Oryctolagus cuniculus: one gene and its partners. The protein of the gene in region 3 purifies or fractionates together with the protein of the main gene of each other region. This does not show direct contact. Links are inferred from orthologs where the notes say so. Each region holds a gene or a part of one and is shown on either strand. Other genes may lie near its edges. The genes, in order: PATJ, AMOTL2 and PALS1.

Evidence for each region.
Region 1: the proteins of PALS1 (region 3) and PATJ purify together in Homo sapiens (co-immunoprecipitation; 5 studies listed by BioGRID and IntAct, counting the BioPlex papers as one, with this or other methods). This does not show direct contact. The link is inferred for Oryctolagus cuniculus from reciprocal best matches to the Homo sapiens genes PALS1 and PATJ.
Region 2: the proteins of PALS1 (region 3) and AMOTL2 purify together in Homo sapiens (affinity purification with mass spectrometry; 3 studies listed by BioGRID and IntAct, counting the BioPlex papers as one, with this or other methods). This does not show direct contact. The link is inferred for Oryctolagus cuniculus from reciprocal best matches to the Homo sapiens genes PALS1 and AMOTL2.

Annotation. Positions count from the first base shown.
Region 1 is NC_091438.1:110,665,931-110,669,578, forward strand, and holds part of PATJ (inaD-like protein), read right to left. Parts: intron 3,294-3,648; coding exon 3,100-3,293; intron 1,233-3,099; coding exon 1,085-1,232; intron 117-1,084; coding exon 30-116; intron 1-29.
Region 2 is NC_091435.1:147,068,758-147,072,405, reverse strand, and holds part of AMOTL2 (angiomotin-like protein 2), read right to left. Parts: intron 2,997-3,648; coding exon 2,852-2,996; intron 2,557-2,851; coding exon 2,464-2,556; intron 2,299-2,463; exon of another isoform or gene 1,822-2,298; intron 562-1,821; exon of another isoform or gene 474-561; coding exon 178-473; intron 1-177. UniProt on the Homo sapiens protein: Regulates the translocation of phosphorylated SRC to peripheral cell-matrix adhesion sites. Required for proper architecture of actin filaments.
Region 3 is NC_091451.1:13,174,822-13,178,469, reverse strand, and holds part of PALS1 (protein PALS1), read right to left. Parts: intron 2,798-3,648; coding exon 2,726-2,797; intron 1,105-2,725; coding exon 937-1,104; intron 1-936. UniProt on the Homo sapiens protein: Plays a role in tight junction biogenesis and in the establishment of cell polarity in epithelial cells.

The DNA of each region.
Region 1 (3,648 bases), on a different chromosome or scaffold from region 3:
AGTCAGTCTGCTGGGAAGCCATCAACAACCTGACTGTTGTGCGATGTCTTCCTGGAGGCGGCCCAGGACCCAGCTCGCAGTCTTCCGATCTCTAGCTGCACAAGCCCCTGTGCACACTTGGAGGACAAGAATGGAACAGAAATGAACAACAGGTGTGTTTGTGTCCCAACACAGCACAGCACCGCCTCCCCTTCCCTCCGCAGCCAACAGCTACTACAGAGTAATAACAGCGACAGATGAAAAGGAGTCACCCCCAAATCCCACAAAAACAGCAGAAATCTGTGTCAGAAGGATTAGCTTTCAATTCATGTCTTTTTCCTTCTCCCTTCTGATAAAAAATGTTCATGCACAGCAAAATCATTAAGGAAATGTAGTACAGGAGAGGACAAAGGAAGTCAAAATGCAGATGTAACCTACAAACACAGTTCCTCTCCTGGGCGGGAACAGCTGGCTCTCTCAAGAGGTCATAATCTTACACCCAACGAATTTCCTCTGTCTATGCAAAGCTTTCATGGCTGTTTGTGAAATATACAAAATCCCTGCTCAGAATTGAATGGAAATTTACAAGAATTTTTATGAACCAGTTTCTTCCAAGCACGGCAGACACACTTGGAGGTGCATTTGGAACCTTACCACGGTTACAATTTCAGGGAGACAGCTTGGTTGGTGGGAAAATCACTCAAGCGAGCACTGTGATCTTTGGCTGTCATTTTTCAGACTTCATGTGTGACAAGGAGGAACTGGTCTGGATTATATTAAATGTTCCTTCAAGTCTTAAAAGCTGGATCTTATGAACTCATGATCGCGTGCTCCCTGACCTGGCCCCAGAAGGAGCTGCAGGAATTCTATATTCAGAGGACAACCGTGGAGACTTGGAATTCTCACAAGTGCGCAAAACTACCTTAGAAATCCCAAAGCCCTGCCAATTTGACAGAGCTTTCTTTTAAAGCTAATCCTGATCATTCACAATTGTCACAGATTAGAGTCTCATAAAGCCCAACCCATTTGTTATCAAGCTAGGCTGGAACAGATCCCCCCACCCTGTGGTGGTGCTGGCTGGGCACACGGCACCGGTGTGACTCACCTTGAGGACAGTGGCCACCGTCTCCTGGGAGGCGCTCCTCATGTCATCCCCGTTCACAGATAAGATCTGATCTCCCTGAATCAATCTCCCATCCAGGTCTGCAGCGCCTCCTTTCACGATGTCGGAAATAAACACTCCGCTTCCGTTTCTGTTAATACCATAAAGCAATGGCGTGTTGGCACAGCCTAATATTTCTTTTGTAAACATTTATTTATTTTAAAGGCAGAGTTATAGGGGGAGAGAGAGGAAGGAGGAGGAGAATGGGGGGGCAGAGAGAGAGAGAGCGAGCGAGCAAGCCTCCATCTGCTGGTTTATCCCCCAGCGGCTGCAATGAGTGGGGCTGGGCCAAGAGGAAGCCAGGAGCCAGAAGCTTCATCTGGATCTCCCACATGGGTACAGGGGCCCAAAGACTTGGGCCATCCTCTGCTGCTTTCCCATGCATATTAGCAGGGCGCTGGATTGGAAGTGGAGCAGCCAGGATTTGAACCGGCACCCATAGAGGATCCTGGCATTGCAGGCTGTGTCTTAACCCATTGTGCCACAATGCTGGCCTCACAACCTAATATTTCTTAATTAAAATCTTAGATCACTAATTTTCTATATGGGTTCACTAAATTCTAAAATGTGGAAGCAGAGTCCTACAAAGCCATAGAATTACTAGTTCAATCATTTATGGTTATTTATGTTGCCTGTTGTAATATTAATTTTCATGGGCCCAAGGCCATGATTTCTTGAAGATCATCATTTTAGTGGAGTGAAATGGGAATTCACTTAAAACAGTGGAGTTACGTACTCTTAAAATGTATCGGTTATTTTCTTAGAGAAGATTAGTTTCACTCCCAGCATGTGATCTATTTCTAGTCACTTTTTCTCCTTTGCTATTTCATTTTTTTTTAAAGACTTCATTTCATTTATTTGAAAGGCAGAGTTACAGAGAAAGAGAGTTGCTTGATGCAAATAACTATTTTCTAATAGAAAACTGTCACGAATCATTTATACTTGTCTCTCAACCATGTTTCCTCGATGTGTTTTAACATAGTGTAAAATTAACATGGTATTCCACGCCAGAGCAATTTCCTTTTTCTTTTCAAATTAAGAAAAATTTTGTTTTTTCATTTTATTTGAAAGGCAGAGAGACAGAGGACAGGGAGAGACAGATCTTCTATCTGCTGGTTCACTCCCCAAATGCCTGCAACAGTCACGGCTGGGCCAGGCTGAGGCCAGAAACCAGCTTTTCAATCTGGGTCAGATTGTGCCAGAAACTGGGGCTTCCAAGGGTACACATTAGCAGGAAGCCAGAATCAGAAGTGGAGCTGAGCCTAGAACCACGCATTGCCATGTGGGATGCGGGCACCCAATGCCTGCCCTTGGAAGCAAATTTTCTTAATCAAACATTGTGCAGGGCGGCTGGCACTGCGGCTCACTAGGCTAATCCTCCGCCTGCGGCGCTGGCACTCTGGGTTCTAGTCCTGGTTGGGGTGCCAGATTCTGTCCGGGCTACTCCTCTTCCAGTCCAGCTCTCTGCTGTGGCCCAGGAAGGCAGTGGAGGATGGCCCAGGTGCTTGGGCCCTGCACCCTCATGGGAGACCAGGAGGAGGCACCTGGCTTCTGGCTTTGGGTGGGCACAGTGTGCCGGCTGTGGCGGCCATTTGGGGAGTGAACCAACGGAAGGAAGACCTTTCTCTCTGTCTGTCTCACTGTCTAACTCTGCCTGTCAAAAAAGAAAGAAAAAAACATTGTGCAGGCCAACCCGTGCTATCTTGGGTATGTAAGCCACAGATCGAGGTAATTCCAAGTTGAAAGAACCTATAAGGAAATGTAACAGGCTAGGTTGACTGGGCATGGAGCTTTATAAGGAAACGACAGGTTTGTTTGTTTGATACCGCACTGCTCAGAAATACGACCTATGTTGCTCAAATATTCACAACGGCTTTGGAAATCATGCCCCTGGTTTACACTCAGCTTCACCTCTCTGAAGGAAAGGGCCAGTCGTGACTCACGCAGCGCGTCCTCACCGTTTCCCCACGATGCTCAGGCCCAGGCCGCGGCCGGCCTTCTTCTGCAGGTCCACGGGGAAGATATCTAAGTTCTCTTCGTCCCTGTAGTGCGCCTCATCCCTGTACACCACCAGCCGCACCTTCTGCGGGGTCTGCCTCAGGGCCGTGATGGCTTCTTCGTGGCTGCAGCTCCTCAGGTCCACCCCGTTGACCTGGAACAAGGGCATCCTGAAATGGGTGGTGGGCAGCAGGGGCCTTTCTGCCTGCTGGGTTGGCTGGAGCTCACTGATCCAACCCGTGAAAACCTCCAGAAACCTTTGGTCCCTCCTGAAGCTAAAGAGGTAGGGCGCACTGGCAGCGGGAGCTGCTTCTGACACAGAGCAGGGGGCGGGAGGGAGGGCTGGCACACCTGATAATGGTGGTTTCATGTAACTGTGAACTTCACAGGGGAGAGAGAGAGAGAGGAGCAGGGAGTGAGGTGGGTGCCAGTGAGCCCCACTTTGCCTACTGCATTTGACAGCCTCACTCTCAGTTGCTTACATTGCAGCTTCAGACAAGGCCTAAAAG
Region 2 (3,648 bases), on a different chromosome or scaffold from region 3:
TGCTGCTGGGCTAGGACCACGTGGCAGAGCCTTGGCTAACACTGGTGAGTGGGAGTGACCATGCAGCAAAGGTTTCCCGGAAACCTCAGGAACCAGGCCCGGAACACCACACCCCGGCATCCGGCATCCTCGGATGCCCGCCCTTGCTCTGCTACCTGCATGCAGGCGTCCGCTCACCTGCTGTGCGCGCAACACCTTGAGTTCCTGCTCCAGGCGCGTGCGCAGCCGCAGCTCCAGCTGCTCGCGCTTCTCGCAGGCCGCCTGCAGCTGCCCGAGCGCCTGCTGCAGCCGCTCCACCTTCTCCACGTATGCCTGCTTCTTGCGCAGCTCCTCCTCGGCGCGGGCCGCCCGCGCCTGCGCGTTGCTCAGGGCCTGCTCCAGCAGCTCCGCGCGCCGCCGCTGGTCCTCAACGGCGCTGCGCAGCAGCGCTGTCTCCCGCTCCACCTTCTCCTGCTCCTGCTGCTGCTCGTAGCCTGCAGGGAGACGTGGCCGGGTCAGTGATGGCGACCTCCCCGACTGGATGAGCACAATTGCTTCTCATCCTCACAGCAACCCTAGGAGGTAGGAGGAACCCTCTGAAGCTTTGATTGGACTTGGTTCTCCTTAGTTTGAGCTTTCGGGCCACGTGTGGCCAAGGGCCTGCCTAGGACGATGAGTTCTGGGATGGGAGGCTGATGGCTTGGATCCCTGGCGTGTGGAAGAGAGGATGCATTGACTCAGGGGACTGGGGCAGGAGCCAACCCAGGCCAGCTCTTGGCTTGCTCAGGATCTTTGAAAAAAAAAAAAAAAAAAAAGAGGCTGACCAGAGACATCTGCACTGAGAATTCTGCAGCCCTCCGGGGTGGCTCCTGCAGCAAGGAATGGCTGCTTAGGGCTGCCCTGTACAACCTCTAAGGCTCTGCTGGGGGCTGGGAGGCTCGGGCCTTGGTCATCCCCAGCCAGCGGGACCCTGACAGAGCAGCCAGGGCCTAGCAGTGGGGTGCGGTTCCTGCGAGGGGGAGAAGGGCCCACAGGCCCCCCTGCCCAGCGTCCCAGCCTCCCTTGTGTCGCCCTGTCCCCTCCCAAAGCCTGGGCAGCGGCATAGAGCAGGGCGCCAGGCCGCAGCAGCGGGGGGAGCGGCTGGGAGCGGAACAGCCGGCTCTGGAATGCCAGGCATCCGGGTCACCCACAGCTGCCAGATTAATGGCTCCAGCCAGGAGCCAAGAACAGCCCGGCTCTGGCTGGCTCGCTCCCCAGGGAGCGGAAACGCCTCCCAGGCCGGCTGGATGGCTCCCCCTCCCTCCCCAAGCAGCCGCCCAGAAACCCGCCCCAGGACTTCCTTTCTGCTGCAGGGCCAGGCCCCCCAAAGTCCTCAGCTCCCCCAGCAGCCAGACCTCTCCAGACTCCTAGGCCCCTTCCCTCCCCCTCAACCTCCCAGGGGTCCCCCTGCCAGAGTCCCCCACAGCCATGGCCGCCCCAGCCCACCCTCATCCAGCACTGTCCTGCCCAGTGGCTTCAGCGCTGTTCCCCTGTCCCGTTCCCTGCTTTGGGCTTGAAACCCTCTCTGAGGGCCCTGTCCAGAGCTCCATTCTCGGGCTGCTTATCCACTGGACATGACCCCTGTGGTCTGTGCCACACATAGCAGCTCTCCTGGTGGACAGCAGCCATTGCCAGCCCACTCTGTCCTCAAACCCTGGAACTTCCCACGAGCTGGGCCATCCGCATTGCACCCAATGCCTCCTCACTTGTGGCCAGTTCACCATGCCCATCACCAGGGCTGCTCTCAGGCCACTGGGGACTCCCTCATCAGCACCCGCCCATCAGCGTTCTTGTTCCCTTCAGGCCTTGGGAACCTGCTCCCTCCACAGCCCACCAGTCTCCCCTGAACCTCCCAGCCACTTCCTGGGGCTGCTCCCACTCCTCTGCTAAACACTTGCCTGGTGCTTGGCACAGATCTGCAAGCGAACACATGGAGGAATGACTGAATGAATGAAGGGACTAGTTACTGAGCTCATCTGCCTTGCAGGGGGTGCTGGACTTCCCCTTCTGAGAAGCCTCTAGAAGCTCTTCTTCAGACTGCACCTGTTGGTGAAGCACCTGGACTGTCTCAGGTGCCCCCACCTGGCCGCCTCGTGGTCCACAGGCTCCTCCCTTCCCTGCACACTTACTGTTACCTGAAATTCCCTGGCCAACTCTCAGCTTCCTCCTGCAGGGCTGTCCGCCTCCCTCTGCCCGGTGCCCCTCTGTTGCTGACCAACACAGCTCTCACAAACACTGTCCCCCAGCTCTGTTCACCTTCCCAATAAATATAGAACCTGATCTTTGTCTTCCTCGAAAGCCAGCCCAACCCCCTACACATGCAGTCCCGGGCCTGCAGGTGGGTACCATTTGGTAAACAGCACCCCCAGCACTGCCGCGAGCAGCAGCGGTGCTGCCACTGCCTGCAAGTCGACCCGGCTTCCTCTTTGCGGGACCCTTACTTACTCTGAGCAAGCAGCTTGGCCACCATGTCCTGACTGCCGGCCTGGGCCTCCTGGGTCCTGCTCGCCAGACGGCGGTTTGCAGATTCCAGCCTCTCTGTTTGCAACGAAGGAGAGATGTTTTAGTCACAGGGAGCTGCTTGTCGGTGTTTTCCCTGGGGTCTGCATCGTCTAAGCTAGGGCTGAGCTCATTGGGATGCCCCTGGTTCCACTCAGGGCCCGATGAGCGACCTGGGCCACGCGGTCGGAGCTCCATGAGGGACCCCAAGGTACAGAACAGACAAGCCTCTGTCTACGAGACCTGGGCTCCTCCGAGTCGAGGTGCACTGATATTTTTCCCCCCAGGGAACATGAACCAAGCCCTCCACAGGTGCTCCCCAACTGGCTGTCACCTCTGAGGTCCCGGTTGAAGTCCTGCAGCCTCCTCATTTCGCTGTCCATCTTGTTCCGCATGGTCTTCTCCAGGGCCTCCCGCTTGGAGGAGGCCCTGGTCAGGCTCTCGTGGGCCTCGGACAGCCGCTGGATCTCGCTTTCCAGCTACGAGAGGTAGACAGCAGAGCTGAAGGGAAGTGAGAGCGCCAAGGGCGCGACCCCGGCCAGTCGCTGCTCTCCATCACAGAAGGGGACGGGAGCCAAAGCTCCAGGGGGCTACCGTGGGAAGGTCAGAAGCTGCTGGCCTCCACGGTGCACTGGGACTGCTGGGCACCTCAGCTCGGCTGTCCTAAGGACCAGATGCTGAGTGACCCCAGGGCCAGGACTCCGGGACCCAGAGTGACCAAACACAAACTTTGCTATGCTCACCATTCAGAAAGAAGCATTTTACTCCTGCTGGTTTCTGTCGGGAAGGCCGAGCATGCGGGCCAGCAGTGGGCACAGACTTCTGCCATGTTCAGGTGCTTTGACCTATCTGCCACTAACAGGCCACTCATCGAGGCCTGAGGCCATCTGCATACCACTGGTCACTTTTCACCAAGGAAGGGACCCCAGCACGGGGCTGAGCGCAGAGAGCCAGCCCCGCCCCCCTCCAACCCATAAGCTGTCCCTCCCACTTGGCCGCAGGCAGCTCCCGCACGTGCTCCTGGCCAGCCTGCTGCCTAACAAGTCGCTCAATTTTTTTTTTTTCCACGAGGAGGGGTTTTTCTCTTTGGCCAGGGCTGGCTTGGAACAGACAGGCTGTTGTGTGGGGGAC
Region 3 (3,648 bases):
TTTTTTATTTATTTGAAAGGTAGAATTACAGAGAGGAGGAGAGACAAAGAGAAAAAGAAAGAGGTCTTCCATCCACTGGTTCACTCCCCAAATGGCCCCAACAGCCAGTGCTGGGCCAGGCCGAAGCTAGGATCCTAAAGCTACTTCTAGGTCTCCCATAGGAGTCTAGGGGCCCAAGCACTTGGGTCATCCTCCACTGTTTTCACAGGCACGTCAGCAGGGAGCTGAATCGACAGTGGGGCAGCTGGGTCGTGAACCTACCTCCATTTGAGATGCCAGCATCACAGGCGGAGGCTTAACCTGCTATGCCACAACACCAGCCCTCCATTTTTAAAAATTAATTAATTAGAGAGGCAAAGACTGACAGAGCTCCCATCAGCTAGCTGGTTCACTCCCTAAAAGCCCTGGAGCCAGGAAGTCAATCCAGGTTTCCCATGTGGTACTTCAGCTACTTGACCATCACTTGCTGCCTCTCAGGTTCTGCACGTTAGCAGAAAAGAAGAATCAGGATTAAAGCCAGAACTTGAACTCAGGGACTTTGACATAGGATGAGTATCTAAGGCACCTTAACTTCTATGGCAATCACTCTCCCCTAATTATCTTAATATGTTTTATGCTTCCACTTTAAAAAGCATATATACATATACAAATATTTGAGAGGCAGAGTTATAGACAAAGAGAGGCAAAGATTTCCTGTCTGCTGGTTCACTCCCAAATGGCCGCAACAGCGTGAGCTGGGCCAGGCTGAAGCCAGGAGCCAAGAGCTTCTTCCAGGTCTTTTTCAAGAACAACTATCTTTAAAAAATTGTCAAACATCTGGTTAAACAAACATCCTCTTTCATTGACAACCTTGATGAAATATCTCCCTTCACAGTTACGTTCCGAGGGTGCAGGTAAATTGAGTAGACAGGAAAATGGGAGCGCATCCAAACTTACGAGGAACTGCAGATGCAAAGCGGTCCTTTTCTTTGTTCATGAGCCTCTGACGCAATTCATTCTGGCCACAGTTCTGTGGACCGATTAGAATGATAGGTCTTTTCCTATTTGCTGGCTGATGGTAAAGTGACATTTCCTCATAAGTTAAGATCTCCTCATTGTCATAATCTTTGGAAAAGAAAAAGTTAGCTCTTCAGACAAATTAGATTACTGCCATATAATGATATACAGATCTGTCCCTCCTCACCCTACCCCCAATTATGGACACTTTATTATCATTAAAATACTTAACTTTTTGGATCAAGATGGTAGTAGATGGTAGTACTATATCATGAGCATTTTCCCATGTCCTTATAGCTTTGCCAGGACACTAAGAAAATGAATCTAACAATATACTACTAATCTTTTGAGAATTTTTTTACAGCTTATCTTGTTTCATATTGTTTGAATGGCTAAAAAAGTTGTATTGACCCTTATATAAATTAATGAGAAAAATTATGTCATTTTTGTACAATGCAGATACTTCTACTCAAGAGGATAGTTTCAAGGATCAGACAGAATGTACATGCTGAGCACAACAGCTGACACAGGTATTTACACACTGCTATAACCAGCTATCAGAGAAGCTGGAAAACTTTCCTGTAGTTGTGTAACTTGTTAACAGGTCATACTCATGCTATTCATACTTTCTGCATTTATATTTACTTTATTTTGGAACACTATCCTAGAGTCATGATGGGTGGGGTAACATTCCTAAAGCCCATTATCCAGATGAAATCAGAGCTGTTAAGTGGCAAGAAAAAAAGCAGACAACCAGCAGTCTGCCTTGCCCTCACTCCTATTACTTCACCTGACTGGGACGCAGCAGCCTCATGTATGAGACCCAGTCAGCACTAGATTCCACAAGGGCAGAGACCCATCTTAGGTTTGTCAGCGCTCAGCAGAGCCTGGCCCAGAATAAGTGTTCAAAGCAACTGTTCACAGGTTCTGTGCAGAGCACTGGCAAAGCTACAGATACACAAACCAAATTTGTAAATCAAAATGTTACCACATTATAAATATTATAAATATTGGAAGAAACCTGGTATTTTTGAGAGAAACATGTGCTGAGAAGGGAATTAAATATGCTGCTTATTAAAGTGGCTCAAATCTCAGATTTAGCTTTGTGTGGAATATCTCAACCATCCGTAAACATTTTATCTTCATTAGTGTATAAGAAACTGGGAGTGGTGGAAACTATTTGACTAAATAAAAGGTGCCCAATGGTAGGGCAATAGCCATCTGTCAGGTCCAGGGGACTTGTCATTGGGAATACAAGCCCAGGGTCATCAGAGCTTTTGATTTTAAGGGCAGCAATGACTTTAAATCTTTTTAATCTTAATAGTCAATTAAAGAGTGTGCCTCACTCAGTTAGTGGGCTCTGTGGAATGGATTGGCTCTGTAACGTGAGTTATGTTTTACTTCAAATACATCTGTTTTTAAAGAACTTGTTAGAAGCAAGTGTTAATTTTACAGGTTTAAATAATAAAAAAATGGAAACCATCAATTTTATACCACATACACATATACTACATAGTACTCTAATGTTTATACCATTTTCCCCCAATTATACACTGCATTACTCACGGGACTCCAAAAGAAAATTCCTACTGAAAAATTTTCTCAAGCACATATTCCATTAATAGGCAAAATGGGACTAGAAATAAAACTTCATGAAAATATCAGTTCACGTATTATTAGATTCAGACCCCTTCAGATATAAATTCCACCACCTGAGAGTAGAACTTACCATCATTTTTATTGGCATTATATAAAACCTTTTTCCTTTTCTTTTTATTTTTCTTTGCACACCATAGTTTTCCTGTTGAGCAATCAAATGAATTAATAAATATGGCATGTTTTCTTGAACAAAGTACATATTTTAAATAATTCAAATTGTTTAACAAGTTTTTCAAAATTTTTTTTCATTTTATTTGAAAGGTAAAGATACACACACACACACACACACACACACCCCTCTTCCATGTGCTGGTTCACTCCCCAAATGCCCCAACCATCTGGGCTGGCCCAGGCCAAAACCAGGAACCAGGAATTCAATCCTTGTTTTCCACATGGGTGGCAGGGTCCCAAGTACTTGAGTCACTACTGTCTGCTGCCTCCCAGGGTGCACATTAGCTGGAATCAGAAGTCAAGCTGGGACTTTATATGGGAGGTGGGTATCTCAAGCAACATGTTAACTGCTGTGCCAAATGCTTGCCCCAATTAATTTAAGTGTATCTACTCTTATTAAACTGTTCATAGATCATTTTTTAGTCTAGCTTTCCATAATAATAAATAATAAATAATAAAAAAATCTTTAATATCTAAATTTTGTATTTTTTAGCAATTTATTTTATTTGAAAGAGTGAGAGAGAGAGAAAAATGAATCTTTTATCTGCTGGTTCCTTTCCCCAGGCTGAGGCCAGGAGCCTCAAATTCCATCTGGGTCCTCCACACAGGTGATCATTGGGCCATTTCGGCCATTTTCCATGCTTTTTCAGGTGCATTAAACAAGAAGCTGACTAGAAGTGCAGCTTCACTGTAAGTAGTGGCTTAACCTGGCATATCACATCAGCCCTGTGGTCCATTCTTTATAGTCCTAAGGAAATCACTTTTGTTTCTCACATCACTCTTTTCACAAATTTATTTCTTAAAAGTTCTGATACACAAATT